Linked DNA regions of Drosophila melanogaster. Changing the gene in region 2 together with the main gene of any one other region gives a genetic interaction. Each region holds a gene or a part of one and is shown on either strand. Other genes may lie near its edges.

Region 1 (7,846 bases), on a different chromosome or scaffold from region 2:
CAGGAGACCCTGGATCTTAAACTCCTTGAGACGAGCGGCGATCTCCTTGAACTTGCCCTCAGGCAGTGTGCGTTTGGTACCCAAGTAGGCGCCACCCTGACCAACCCATCCTGAGACATCCGACCTGAAATTGAATTGCATTAAGCACAGATTTAGAGTGATCCCTTGTCGGATTACTTACCAGCCCAGCTCGCGGACATTTCCGGCAATCAGACCCTCGACACCGTCGTTGATTCCATAAACCACATCACCGCGGTAGATGGCATTGCGCACGAAGCTGCGCACAGCGGCATTCATACCGCAAGCCGGAGCACCAATATGCATCACAGCTAGGCGGTATCCTTCGATTCCCTTGCCATCGGCGTCGAAGTTCTCCTTGGGCGGCTTCAAGCGCGTCAGCATCTTGTAGGTCTCCAGATTCCGCTCGAAGGAGCGTCCGCGCAGCTTGACGGCATCCGCCCAGCGTTTCTCCGCCATGGCCTTGGCCACAGCCTGGGTGCGCTCTACGCACTCCATCAGCGGCACGCGAACCGCCTGGTTGCCGTCCAGAGAGATGACCACTGGCACCGAGTCCTTGGTGGCCTCCATCAGGGCCAAAGTGGCCTCAGCTCCCATGCGGCAAGCCTATGCGGGTTAGAAGCATTAACTCTCAAGTCAAAAATAGTGTAATTATATCTTAATAAGTATATCTTATTTTGGTAACTTTAGTGTTTTAAATCGGATTTACAGCGCTTCTTAATATAAGTATGCTATACAAATAAAACAAAAATAGCTGGCATTGTAAATTACTAATTAAAATTAAATTTTGAGGTGATCTTTGGATAATTACTTACCAAAATACGATCGAAGGCACTGGGATTGCCACCGCGCTGCACGTGACCCAAGACAGTGATGCGGGCATCGTGCTTCAGACGCTCGTCGATCACCTTCTTTACATCCTCGGCTGTGATGGGATGACCCTCGCGATCCATGGCTCCCTCGGCCACAATCACGATGTTCAGACGCTGGCCAGCAGATCGCTCCTGTTGGTCAATGGTGAAGGGATTCACTTAAGCATATATGTAAGATACTAATCGTGAATGATACAGAAACTACAAAAGCACAAACGAATTATGAAGAGGCATGATGAGTAGACATCATCATAACAAAAAAAATGTAGTTTACATATGCTTTGCTTTACAATGTTGAAATAGTGTCACCAAATGTGTATCAGCAAGCGAATGAGTGCAGTGCGTTTCATAAAGTTAACTCACGTTATTCTGTGATATTCATGTATTTCAGTTTGCATCATTAAAATGGCTGTGTGCACGTTCTTTTCAATGTATTTAAGTATTTAAATCAGTTTTGAAACTTTGAAATGCACTGCAACTGAATTGGTGTTTTGAAATATGAAGAATGGACGCACAAGTCAAAGTCGATGAATAGAAAACATTGATGAAGATTTACTGATCGATTAAACGAGGATGGACGTTAGTGGATTTGGAAAAGTTAGTAAGGGAACTCAGTGAGATCATCGTGAGTACATAAAACAGAGACTCAAAACCCAAACAAGTAAATCAAATAGCTGTTAAAGCTGTTTATCGCCATGGAAATTTCGGCACATCGAATAGTCCAAAAACAATGCAGAATAAAATTTAGAAATTCAAAAATTTGACAAAAGAGTAACTAGAAATTAATTGGATAGCGAAGGACTCTGGACCTGACCTGGTGGAGCTTGACACAGATCTCGTCCTTCCAATTGACTGACACCGGCTCCTCGGGTATGAACATAAAATCAGCCTCTGTGGCTATGGCTGCCGATATGGCTAAGTAACTAAAAAAACAAGAGATTAGGTACAAAAATAAAAGATGGTTCACAAATGTCGGGGAGATAATTATCCGGGGATTGGGAGTATCTGGGGTAAACTTAAGATTAGTTACAATATGATTTCGGTATGCTGGTACAGACAAAAACTGTGCGTAATTCATTCCGTATCTCCGGTTTGTGTTTAAAGATACATTCGTGTGCAGTAAGCAGAAAATAAGAACAAGCGTTTGTATGGCAAGTGTCGCTCTTAAAATGTGTCTTTCAAAAAATTGTGTACAGGTGTACTACTTAAGCATCAAGCAACGACAACTGCACTGAAGTATACAACTCTATCTAAAACAGGAATATTATCTCGACAGCTAACTGGCTATATTAATAAGAATAATATCCTAAAATCCTATACAAGCTGTCGAGAACATATTTCCGATGCTTTGCGACTTCTCGCAGTGCTGATGGAATGGAAATGGAGCTGCATCTTGCCTGGGCCAGCTGAGAGCAGAGCCTGTCTGGCCAATCGACCTTGGGCGGCATTTCGGGAATGAATATGAAATCCGCCTCGCACGCCAGTCCACCCACAAGAGCTAAATAGCTGCAAAAATATATATTACAAAATATTAGTCAAAAGGGGGATGGGATTTTGGAGGATATGGGGATCGATCGACATAGTACTGCGGCCATAGAAACAGAAATGTGCGAAATGAGTCGACGACATTCAACAGATTTCCGTTTTGGGCTTGCCTGTTCCAATTTAAGGACAAGTCGATCGGGCCAATCGGCCTGCGGAGGAGACTCGGGCAGAAAGACGTAGTCTGCCTCGGAGATAATGCCAGCTACCACCGAAAGATAGCTAGAGATAGTCGTTCCAGGCATTAGCTAAAATCCCAATTAATCACTGACACTTAGGCTAATACAGAGGCATCCCAACTTTTCCTCGCAAATATCCGCTCAGAGATCAACTTACCCGCAATGACGACCCATGACCTCCATGATGAAGGTGCGCTGATGGGAGTAGGCTGTACTGGAGATGGCATCGATTGCCTCGATGATGCGATGTAGTGCCGTGTCCGTGCCGATGGTCATGTCAGTGCCACAGAAATCGTTGTCGATGGAGCCAACCTACAAAAAGATTCATCCATAAGAAAATATATCCAAGGAATACTCTGTGTAGCATACCAATCCAACGATGTGCAGGACATTGAACTTCTCCTGCTGCTCGGTGGTAATGGTCTTGTTCTTGACCAGCTCGTCCAACAGGCTGGACCACTCCTGACGGAACAGATTGGCGCCCGTGAGGGAGCCATCGCCTCCAATGACCACCAGATTGGTGATTCCTCGCTGAATCAGGTTGTTAGCGGCTTTCAAGCGACCCTGACGCTCACGGAAGTCCTGGCAACGGGCGGAGCCAATGATGGTGCCACCACGATGGATAATGGATGAGACTGAGGCCCAGTTGGCTTCCTGGATGCAGTCGCCACCATCCACCATGCCCTGGTAGCCTTCACGAATGAAGTAGACCTTGCCGAAGGTAAACACGAATCAATTGTAGATATGGTGTAAAACAGTTTGGTATAGAGTTTGGTATCTTCATGGCACATGACATCATTAGCACAATTAAAAATGAATCACCGAATTCGAGTATAAATTATTTTAATTTCATTTTCACTCTGCCAAAGTCGTAATATTTTAATAGGAAGCAGTAAAGAACAGTCAATAGAAATTAATATGATATGACTTATCTCATATACTTTCTCAACTTTTACTGAATAAGTTTAAGTTTTAAACAACAAAACATTTGCATATTCAAAATACCGTTACAGGTAATTACAATGTAATCGATGTTAAATCGATACTTTTTAAGCAACTCACATAACCAAGAATTCAAATTTTATAACGCTCTTAATTTGAAAAGTGAAAAAATAACATAAACAATAATGATGCCAAGGCACTAGTAGATTAAAAACAAAGGTTAGATTACTTGAACTGATTTGGAACCATTTGTTTAGCATACTCATGATATATTTATTAATTTTGTTCAATTTATTGAACATATCAAGCGCTGTCATGCAAAGCGTGGCAATAACTTTACTTTTATTGACCCCCAAGAAATTGAAATCAAATGAATAGATTTTAATCAATTTAAATTGGCTAGCAATTGACACATTTTTTGCATATTTTCGAGGGACCAACGGCCGGCCAGAAGTTCCCTAACAAATTAAAGAACTCATTTAAATAAACCGAATAGAAACCAAGAGCGACAACAAAAAAACGAAACAAATTAGCCGAAATCGAAATCGCATGTGAGGGACCCGAAAATAAACCCAATGTCAATGTGCATGTACACATATATTCTTGAATTTCTTTTCGCACCGATTGGAGATTATCTAACTGGCTTTGCGGCCCAATAGTCGTGGTTTAACGGCTGCTGATAAGCAAATTACCAGGTGTTTTACGTAAATTTCTGGGTTCACATGGGTTTGTTGCCTGTGCCTGGGGGTCGGGGTCACCGGACGCGATGCTGCGTGGGCGGAAAGTACTTGACAGAGGTCACCAACTCACCTTGCAGCCCAAATAGATGGCCATACGGACACAGGCTCGCACGGCGGCATTCATGCCCTGGGAATCCCCGCCGCTGGTGAAGACCGCCAGTCCTTTGTCCTTCTGCGAGCCGCGGGCCAGGAATCGTTGATTAATCTCGGAATTCATTTTTCAATCTTTTGCACTATATGTAAATCAAACTGGGGTCGTAACGGATATCGCACAAAGCACACACTATGAACCACTATTGTACTCGGTAGGGAGTTTCCCTGTTTTGCAACTATGCGAGCAGCGCCGCTGGAGCTGGGTTATATCCAAGTGGGCTATAAATACTACTACTGCTCCTTGCCGTGGCTTTTCAGTTACTAGCAATATGTACGCTCGCAGGCGGTATTCACAAGTTTCGCTTTTGCTTTTGACGTTTCAAGGTGACCTTCAGGCCAGAGACGCATACACAACACACACGGACACACGCACACAGCCACGGGCTTTCTGTAAGTGCGTACTGATGCAATGCAAACTTCGGATGGCTAAATCCGCCCAAGAGTTCGCTCCAACGCGATTGCCCTAACTTGGTTTGATTTAGGTCGAAAATCTGAGGATTCTGTCTGTTATGAACGGACTTTTCGCGACTAGCAACGAGCGGAAAATAGCGTTTAACCAATTTGTTTATGTTCGACCCACAATCGTTCAGCTGTTGATCAGCTGGTTATCACTGGGCGAGTAAAAGCTTTCGCGAGCTTTCACCGCTGGGAATGGGGAAATTCGGGAGCAGTCATCGGTTGTGTGTGGGTGCGATTGCCGTTATCGTTATCGTTTATATAATACGTTATTCTGATATTCAAAAAACCGGAAAATGTATCCTCAGATTCGAAAATGTTTATGAAACGCCAATTATTATGCTATATCTCAAGTGTTCAACTGATGTTCTACCCTATCTACAACTATCCGCGTAAAGTAACGAAATGTAAGAGCTTTTATCGTTGAATATTAGTGCTCGTTTAAGTGCGTAATTATTTAAAAAACTGTAAAAAGCGAGACAAACTTACAAAAGGCTTGACTGGATGTACAAAATCAATAACATCCTGCATGGTTCTTAAACACTTTCGCAGCTCATCCACCGATTTGCCACATTTCCTTTTTGGTGCACTCTTTTTCTTTTTCACCGCATTCTTTTCAGAATAGTTCACAGCATTAAGAAATCCGTTGTGCAGATTGTTTATTGGTTTTCCACATCGTTGCGCAGACTTGTCTTTTTGTATGTTTTTTTCACCAGGACTATCATTCTTTTGATCACCAGAATCACTGCGCAACTTTATACAATGTCGTTTGCAATTAAATTTTACACTTAAAAGAGTATTTCCTCTAAGCAAGTAAAAGGAAGAAGTGTTATAATATAAAGTCAAACTATATAAGCACATACGAAATATCTCGAGGACAACACAAATGATGACTTCGTGTGCATTGGATGCCGATGTTTGGAAATGTGAGCTAAAGTAAAACAAAGTCTTATAAATTGATCAAAATTAAATTCGATTTTTACCTTTTGCCTAATCGGAGGTGTTTTGTTTGAGATTTCTAAGCGAAATGTTGTAGGACCATGAAAATGGCGGCAAATGGGTATCCGTCCATTGATTTCCAAAAATCTCCAAACAATCGAACAGCTTATAAGTGGGTGTAGTGAATAAATCAAATTCAGACAACAACTTACATAGGTTTTAATTTGGTAAATACTCGAAATTTTATTGAATGCATGCCAAACTAAATTTTGCTCCTAAATATTGAACATTTTTATTAGATTACCAATTTTTTTCATTTTCTGAACTCATTTTTTTTTTATGATTTTTGACATTTTAGCTAATGTAACTACGATCACAAATATTATATTTGAATAAAAACTCATTTGGTTGGTTTTTGTATTATTTATTTAATTTTTTGTTTTTTTTTTGTTGGTAATTAAGAAACTGTAATTTCAATAAACTTAAATATTCCACTCATACATCAATCTTTGCCTCTGTTATATGCATACAATTTACGCCTACACCCGGTTTAATTTTCATCTGGTTGTTATTATTTTTCGGTTTTATGAATGTATTGCAGTTTCACAATATTATTATTTTATATGTTCTGGGATTCGACTTATTAGCGTTGCGGCAAAAGTGTTTCTTTTATTTAAATATATATTTTTTTGTTTGCTTTTTTTTATATTCCTCACATTCATAATATAGCGATAAATTCAATTGCGAAAATATACATTTACTTTTATCATACATACATATGTTCTGTATGCTGGACAATAATATATTTTCTTTCAATACACATGCAAAGTTTTCTTGTATTTAAATTAAAAATTTGAATAGTTTAGTTCACAATATTTATGTATTTTGATTCGATCTTCATTTAACTTCCGTTTTAATAATTCCATTGCTGATTTGCAGGCTGCAATTGTCATAGATTGAAGAAGTCGACCACGTTTTCGAACGATAATAAAACAGCTAAGAAATAATCGCCAGATTTTAGGAACAATTTGTGGCTGTTTCTTTGTTGGGGAAACGCTTCTCTGGGCTTAAACGTACACATATTTATGCATGTACTTCAAAAAGTTACACCCAACTAACGAATAAATGGGAAATTGGGCAGACATTGCGCACAATAAAACTCGTGCCTTCGCCATGTTGCACAGTAAAAAAAAATGTTAGTGGACTTCCGCGAGGGGATATTAGATTTCATTTCGTTCGAAAAATTCATTTGACAGACGACAGTTGGTTATATGTATGTATTATATGAGTTATGCTTTTCACAATTGTTTATACCAAGAAAAAACAACAAAGAAATTGCAATTGTAGATTTAACCCTTTTGTTTTATGTAAGACATGTATAAAAAATAGCAATGAACAATTATATATTTTCTGTATTTTTCCGTTCTCGCCACATTCCTCTAACAGATATGGTTCCTGATTCATGGGATTTGAACCGATTTCCGCACGTGCATTATAAATGCAGCCCTGTCTGTGTGTGACTGTGTGTATCTGTGTGTGCTTCTGTTTGTGTGTGTGGGGGGCAGGTTGAAAAACGAAAAGTGAACCAATTTCGAAATGAAATAAACGTAAAATGGGAAACTAGGTTTTTTGGTTTTATTTGTTTAGAAAAAGAATTACAAATAATACATAAGTTTGTTTTTATTTTTGTTTTCTCATTTGGTTCGCTTGGTTGTTGTTGTTGTTGCTGTATCTTTTGCAGTTGTTTCTGTTGCCATACGAAAATTAAATATTAATTTGGACTGTTGCAAAAAACGTATAATAACCGATTATCTCATTTCATTTCTTGTGTATACAGTTAGGAATATTATTTAGTTGTTTTTTTTTTGTTGTTTTGTAAGGAGGAAATCCACACGAGGCACCGCCAGGGCGAACAAATTCGGAGCATCTAGAGTTTGGCCGTTTCGATCGGGAAAAACACACACAATAACGAATTATCTGCTAGATTAATTTGATTCAAAATCCG
Region 2 (5,313 bases):
TTAACAGCAAATATTTAAACATTTTTCAGAGTACATAATTTAATTCAAAATGAAAAATATAACTTTTACGATATAGCTTTTTTCAATGGTATTTACTTATCCATTGACCTTCTTGTGATAATCAAAACACTTACGTTCTCCAGGGTCAAACAGCTACATTTGTGGCGCCCTATTATCCTGCAGAGCATATTTCTCTCGAGGATGGAGTGGGCTCCACTGCATCTCATCGCCACGCGGACACAACTGAACTTCATCATTGGCCCTTGCCCGAATACCAATTCCCAAACACCGGGGCACTAAAATGAGCTTGTAGCCAAATGGGCAATTGCCACGCACTAAAATTTTGAATATGATCGGAAATTGTTGAAAAATGGATTTGTACTCAACCGAAAAGAAATCGACAGTAAAATCATAAGCAAATCGACAGAGATGGCAACTGTCACTAAACAGAACGAGAAGGAAATATAACGATTTTGGGATTGCTTATGGAGCTGACAACTGCTCCTTTTCAAATACTACTTTGATTCGAACTGTAATTCTTCCACAAATCGAATTATCTATTAAATCTATTCCGTTTATTAATATCTTATAAATCTATCAAAATTCTATAGTGCAAGTATAGGTGAAACAGACTGAGATTTTCACATTTCAAAAGTACATACTTGATTCACTTTTGTTAAGAAAACTAATTTGGATTAATTTTTCTAGATTTTTATATTTTCAACAATTTACACCTCGCTTTATCCTTATTGAACACGTTCGCAATATAATATCCAATGCAGTACCCCAGAGTTATGTGGTGCGCTACGATGTGTGGTTGGAGTGCTCCGATTAGCTAAGCTTTTTGTGGGTCTCTTCGGATCCGTTCCGTTCTACGGGGTTCTCATCGTTCAACTTTCGGCTTATGATCTAGAGATTTCGCTTGTGTCCAAGTTTCTGAGTTATTGTGTCTTCTTGTCTGTCTGTCAGTGATTTGTGTTTGCTGTTCGGTTTTCTTGTTTCGTTTAAGGTTCTTGTGAGTTCCCGAATCAGATTCGTTGGCCCGATGACTTAGTGATTGACGCCCTTGCGCTCCTGGATGTGATCAATATCGTAGGCGATGGTGCCGCGCAGCTTGGGCTCCAGATTGTTGGAGTACACGTCCGTCCAGAGGTGGCTCACGCCCAGCTCGGCATCGGACTTGGCGAAGGCGGTGGCCTCGTCGACCTCCTTGCGTACCTTCAGATCGATGGCCTGGAAGATGTTTTTTTCTTTTAGCAATCATAACTCATAACAAAAATAAAACCCTATAAGCCAAACCCACCTTAACTTCATCGGTGGTAATCAGACCCAGCTCGATGCACAGCTCCTTGAAGGAGGTGATGGGATCACGCTTCTGGCGCACCTCCTGGATCTCCTCGCGTGTGCGGTACGATGTGCCCGGATCGGACATGGAGTGTCCAGAGTATCGGTACGTGTTCGTCTCCATCACCAAAGGTCCGTGAGTGTTCACATAGTTGATGGCGAACTCGGTGGCGCTGCGCACGGCCAGCACATCCATGCCGTCCACCCAGATTCCGGGCAGAGCGTCGCCGCGGGTATAGTAATCAGTGTTGCAGGAAGCACGCTCAGAACTGGTGCCCATTCCTAATGGGTATAATTATACAACATTTGGTTTAAGTAAATATCTTTTAGCATTGTTCCACTTTCTACAGCACTCACCGTAGTTGTTGTTCTCGCAGACAAAGATCACAGGCAGTTTCCACAGGTAGGCCATGTTGTAAGCCTCGAACACCTGTCCTTGATTGGCGGCACCATCACCGTAGAGGGCCAGGCACATGCCGCCATTGCCCTTGTACTTGCAGGCCAAGCCAACGCCGGCACCCAAAGGAACTTGAGCACCCACGATGCCATTGCCTCCGTAGAAGTTCGGTGCGTACATGTGCATGGAGCCACCCTTGCCGCGGGCACAGCCACCCTGGACACCGGTGAGCTCAGCCAGTACGCCGCTGGGTGAGACGCCCATCAGGTAGGTCCATCCGTGGACACGGTACGCCGAGATGATGTTGTCCACATCCCGCATCGCCGCCTTCATGCCAACGGCGCATGCCTCCTGGCCGGAATACAGATGACAGAAGCCGCGAATGATCTTCTCCTTGTACAGATTACCGGCGGCCGTCTCCAACCGACGGATCGTCTGCATCTGTGTGTAGTACTTGAGGGCCTGATCCTTGGTCAGCTTCACTTCCGTGGCGGGTCCTTCGTCCAGGCGGTGCAGCTTGAAGGGCTGCAAAGTTGGAAAGCATATTTAGAATTTAGATCCCTAAACTTCATTAATTTTAAAAACGTTTTCTACTTTTACATTAACAACTGACACACACATCTGATAAGAACGTAACGGAAACGTTTGGAACGCATGATAAGTAATAAAATGATAGCAGTTTGATTGGATAAACCAAATAACCATAGGCTTCAAGCTTCTCTAATCAAAGTATACTAATCTATAGAGAGCTATAACCACATATCGAGGATTTTCGGAAGTATGCTCCAAAAACCAAATTTGGATTTATGGCGGCTAATTTATGGCGTGAGAATCGACGTAAACAGAGAGCCAGACAGACAGACGGAGAGAAAGAGAGAGAGGGTGAAAATCGGCGGATCGTTGATAAGACTATATGTTATATGGTGCGTGAACAGTCACGCGTCGGCCACGCAAAAGGCAGACGGTGATAAAGAGCGTGGGAGACGGAAAACTACAAATTACTGCGTGACCTTGTCATTTGAAAATGAGCGGATTGACCGGCAAAATGCAACCCTGCACTTACACACACACACACACACACGCAAACCGTTTGCTATCTGGCGAAAATCGCATTATGTAACCGTATTTTTTCCCTTCCGACTTTTGAATTTTCCTGAGTTACAAGTACTTAATGCTATAATACGCACCCGATTCACTTGAACGGTGGCCTCCGTGGCATAATTGTTGGTTTTCGAAACACCTGCTTGGGCTGCATTCTGGAATAAACCGAAAAACGACGATGAATATCTCCCATTCCTGATGATATCGATGCTGCTGTTGTTGTTGTTGTTGCTAAGTATCCGACATCCGCTGATGATGATGTTGTTGTTGTTGTTGTTATGGCAACGCTTTTAGTGTTTTCATTATCGAATGGATTTGTTCAATTGCATTTTTAGTGACAACAATTAGAAATGTTAGTGGGTGCAAAGCGGGATTGGGATTACGTACTTTTTGCAGTTGCTTAACAATAATGGGCAATTCGCTAACGCGTGACAGAGTACGCAACATTTTCGCTGTGTTATTCTCGTTCGACTGACAGAAATTGGATGTGAATGGGGGCTTTCTATATGCGGATTGTCCGGATCTAGAATCGCACGCTATATATCTGGTGTCTCAGTCGCACCGCCGCGCGTCGTTGTAAGTTAAACAATCGGAAAAAAAGGTAGCGAGATTAGTTTATCAACTACTATATTGCACAACTATAACAACCGTTTGGCGTTATAGCGAAAAATAACGCACCACTTGGCCTATTAGTGTGACCCTAAATAAAATACTGCAGCTTTCCCTGTTTTCAAAAAATACTAAATTAGCTTATCGAACTTTCTTTTTCAATATAACTTGAAATATAAATGTTTACGTAAAATATTCAATAAGCTTTTATATAATGTGTCACACAATGTTATATCAAAATAATAGTAGTGTTTGGCGGTTATTGAAATACTCGAATAAATACTTACTCAATCACATTTTATATTACTTTGCCGCCCAAATAAAACGAGGGTTTTCAAAGAAGTACTTTTATTTCACATTGAAGATCTCATTTGGTTTTTGTTTGCTTTCTCATTTCTTACTCGTATTGTTACTTGAAATTGCCTCCATAAATCCACATTTGCGATTGCAGTTGCAATTGCAATACTGCTCTATATCGCACTCAGCTCACATAATTCACTAATCTCTTACAAAAACTTAAGTAATGTTTGTTCCTTGCACAAAAAACCAGTTAAATAGAAATAGGTAAAGTAGAATTAAACAGTTAAATTCAAATAAACGCTTTACAAACTAAGATTTTAAACTAGTTTTTGTATTTGTTGGTTTCTCGGTTTGTTGTTTCATTTTTTTTTTTTTGCTTTAGAAATGGCAGCTAAAAGATTTGAGTTTAAAAGTTACTAACGGAAAATGAGGAAATGGATCGATCGTTTGGGAAAAACTAAGCGAATGAAATAAATTTTTTACTTTCTTTTATCTATCTTTTGCTCTGTTACCGTTACACATATTCAATTTTTCGCGCGTTTTTCTGTTACATCAAAAATTGGTTTCTCACACAAATATTTTGCATTATGACAAAAAATTATGCTTTGCTTTGTTTTTTGTTTTGTTTCATATGTATACATGTACATGTATATATATATATATTTGTATGTATAAACACTTATTAGAAGTCCTGTTGTGTTTTTGTTTCCTTTCCCGTTAGAAATCCGGCATTCCGATTATAAGAAAAAAATTTAGTTTTTCTCTTCGTCTTCTTGTTTTTGCGAGTGCTTGTGTGTGTGTAAGTGGGGGAGGTGTGTGTGTGTGTGGGTGAGAGAGAGAGAGGAGGTTCTATCTTACCGTTAGCATAAATAGTTTTGTGTCTACGCAAAAACGTGCTGAGCAATAATCTAAAACGCAATAGCTAAAGAGAGAGAGGTGCTGTATGTGTGTGAAAAGTAACGGTAAATGTGTGTGATTTCTGCATATGTCTTCTGTTGTTTTCAGGAAATTACGTATTAAGCTTCTTATTTTTTTTGGTTGTTTTTAGTAGGTTTTACTTAGGTTCTTGCTTAATTTACACCAATGTTTACTTTATTTTGTATTTCTTGCATGAATATATATATTTACTTTTTGGTTTCCTTGTTTCTTATTACTGTTCGCTTTCATTCCTTGAAATTTGCCTTTAAATTGTTACTGTTCTTCTGTTTTATATAACATAAATCCGATTCGGAGAAACACATAGCACACACTTATATAAACGACAAGATGATAATTATTTATTTTGTCTTTGCTTTTGCTTTCGACTTTCTCCGCCTTTTTGTTTTATTACTGCTTGCACACCACCCTCATGACCTCCCTAACCTGGTTTTGACCTAGAAAGTCTTAGTTTTAAAATTCATTAGAATAATCAAATAAATAATAATTACTATGTTATATCAACTATTATAATTCTCCCTATCTTTTTTAGGATTAAAAATCTGTTAGTCTTAAGTAACCAAGACACATTGTAAAATAAAATAATTTAAGCAGATCAAATTAAGTTGCCGCATGGGTAACAGTGC

Evidence for each region.
Region 1: of Pdha (region 2) and Pfk, changing one suppresses a phenotype caused by changing the other (phenotypic suppression), as found in Drosophila melanogaster (one study listed by BioGRID).

Annotation. Positions count from the first base shown.
Region 1 is NT_033778.4:10,108,093-10,115,938, reverse strand, and holds the start of Pfk (phosphofructokinase), read right to left. Parts: upstream 6,200-7,846; 5' UTR 6,098-6,199; coding exon 6,054-6,097; intron 6,007-6,053; coding exon of another isoform or gene 5,989-6,006; coding exon 5,886-5,988; intron 5,834-5,885; coding exon 5,766-5,833; intron 5,708-5,765; coding exon 5,392-5,707; intron 5,070-5,391; exon of another isoform or gene 4,511-5,069; coding exon of another isoform or gene 4,466-4,510; coding exon 4,364-4,465; intron 3,323-4,363; coding exon 2,981-3,322; intron 2,924-2,980; coding exon 2,769-2,923; intron 2,655-2,768; coding exon of another isoform or gene 2,546-2,654; intron 2,397-2,545; coding exon 2,288-2,396; intron 1,814-2,287; coding exon of another isoform or gene 1,705-1,813; intron 1,023-1,704; coding exon 834-1,022; intron 625-833; coding exon 182-624; intron 125-181; coding exon 1-124.
Region 2 is NC_004354.4:4,700,508-4,705,820, reverse strand, and holds Pdha (pyruvate dehydrogenase E1 alpha subunit), read right to left. Parts: upstream 3,497-5,313; 5' UTR 3,290-3,496; coding exon 3,230-3,289; exon of another isoform or gene 3,130-3,229; coding exon 2,929-3,129; intron 2,267-2,928; coding exon 1,702-2,266; intron 1,627-1,701; coding exon 1,304-1,626; intron 1,234-1,303; coding exon 1,051-1,233; 3' UTR 556-1,050; downstream 1-555. Other genes in the region: CG7024 (uncharacterized protein), read right to left, coding at 135-257.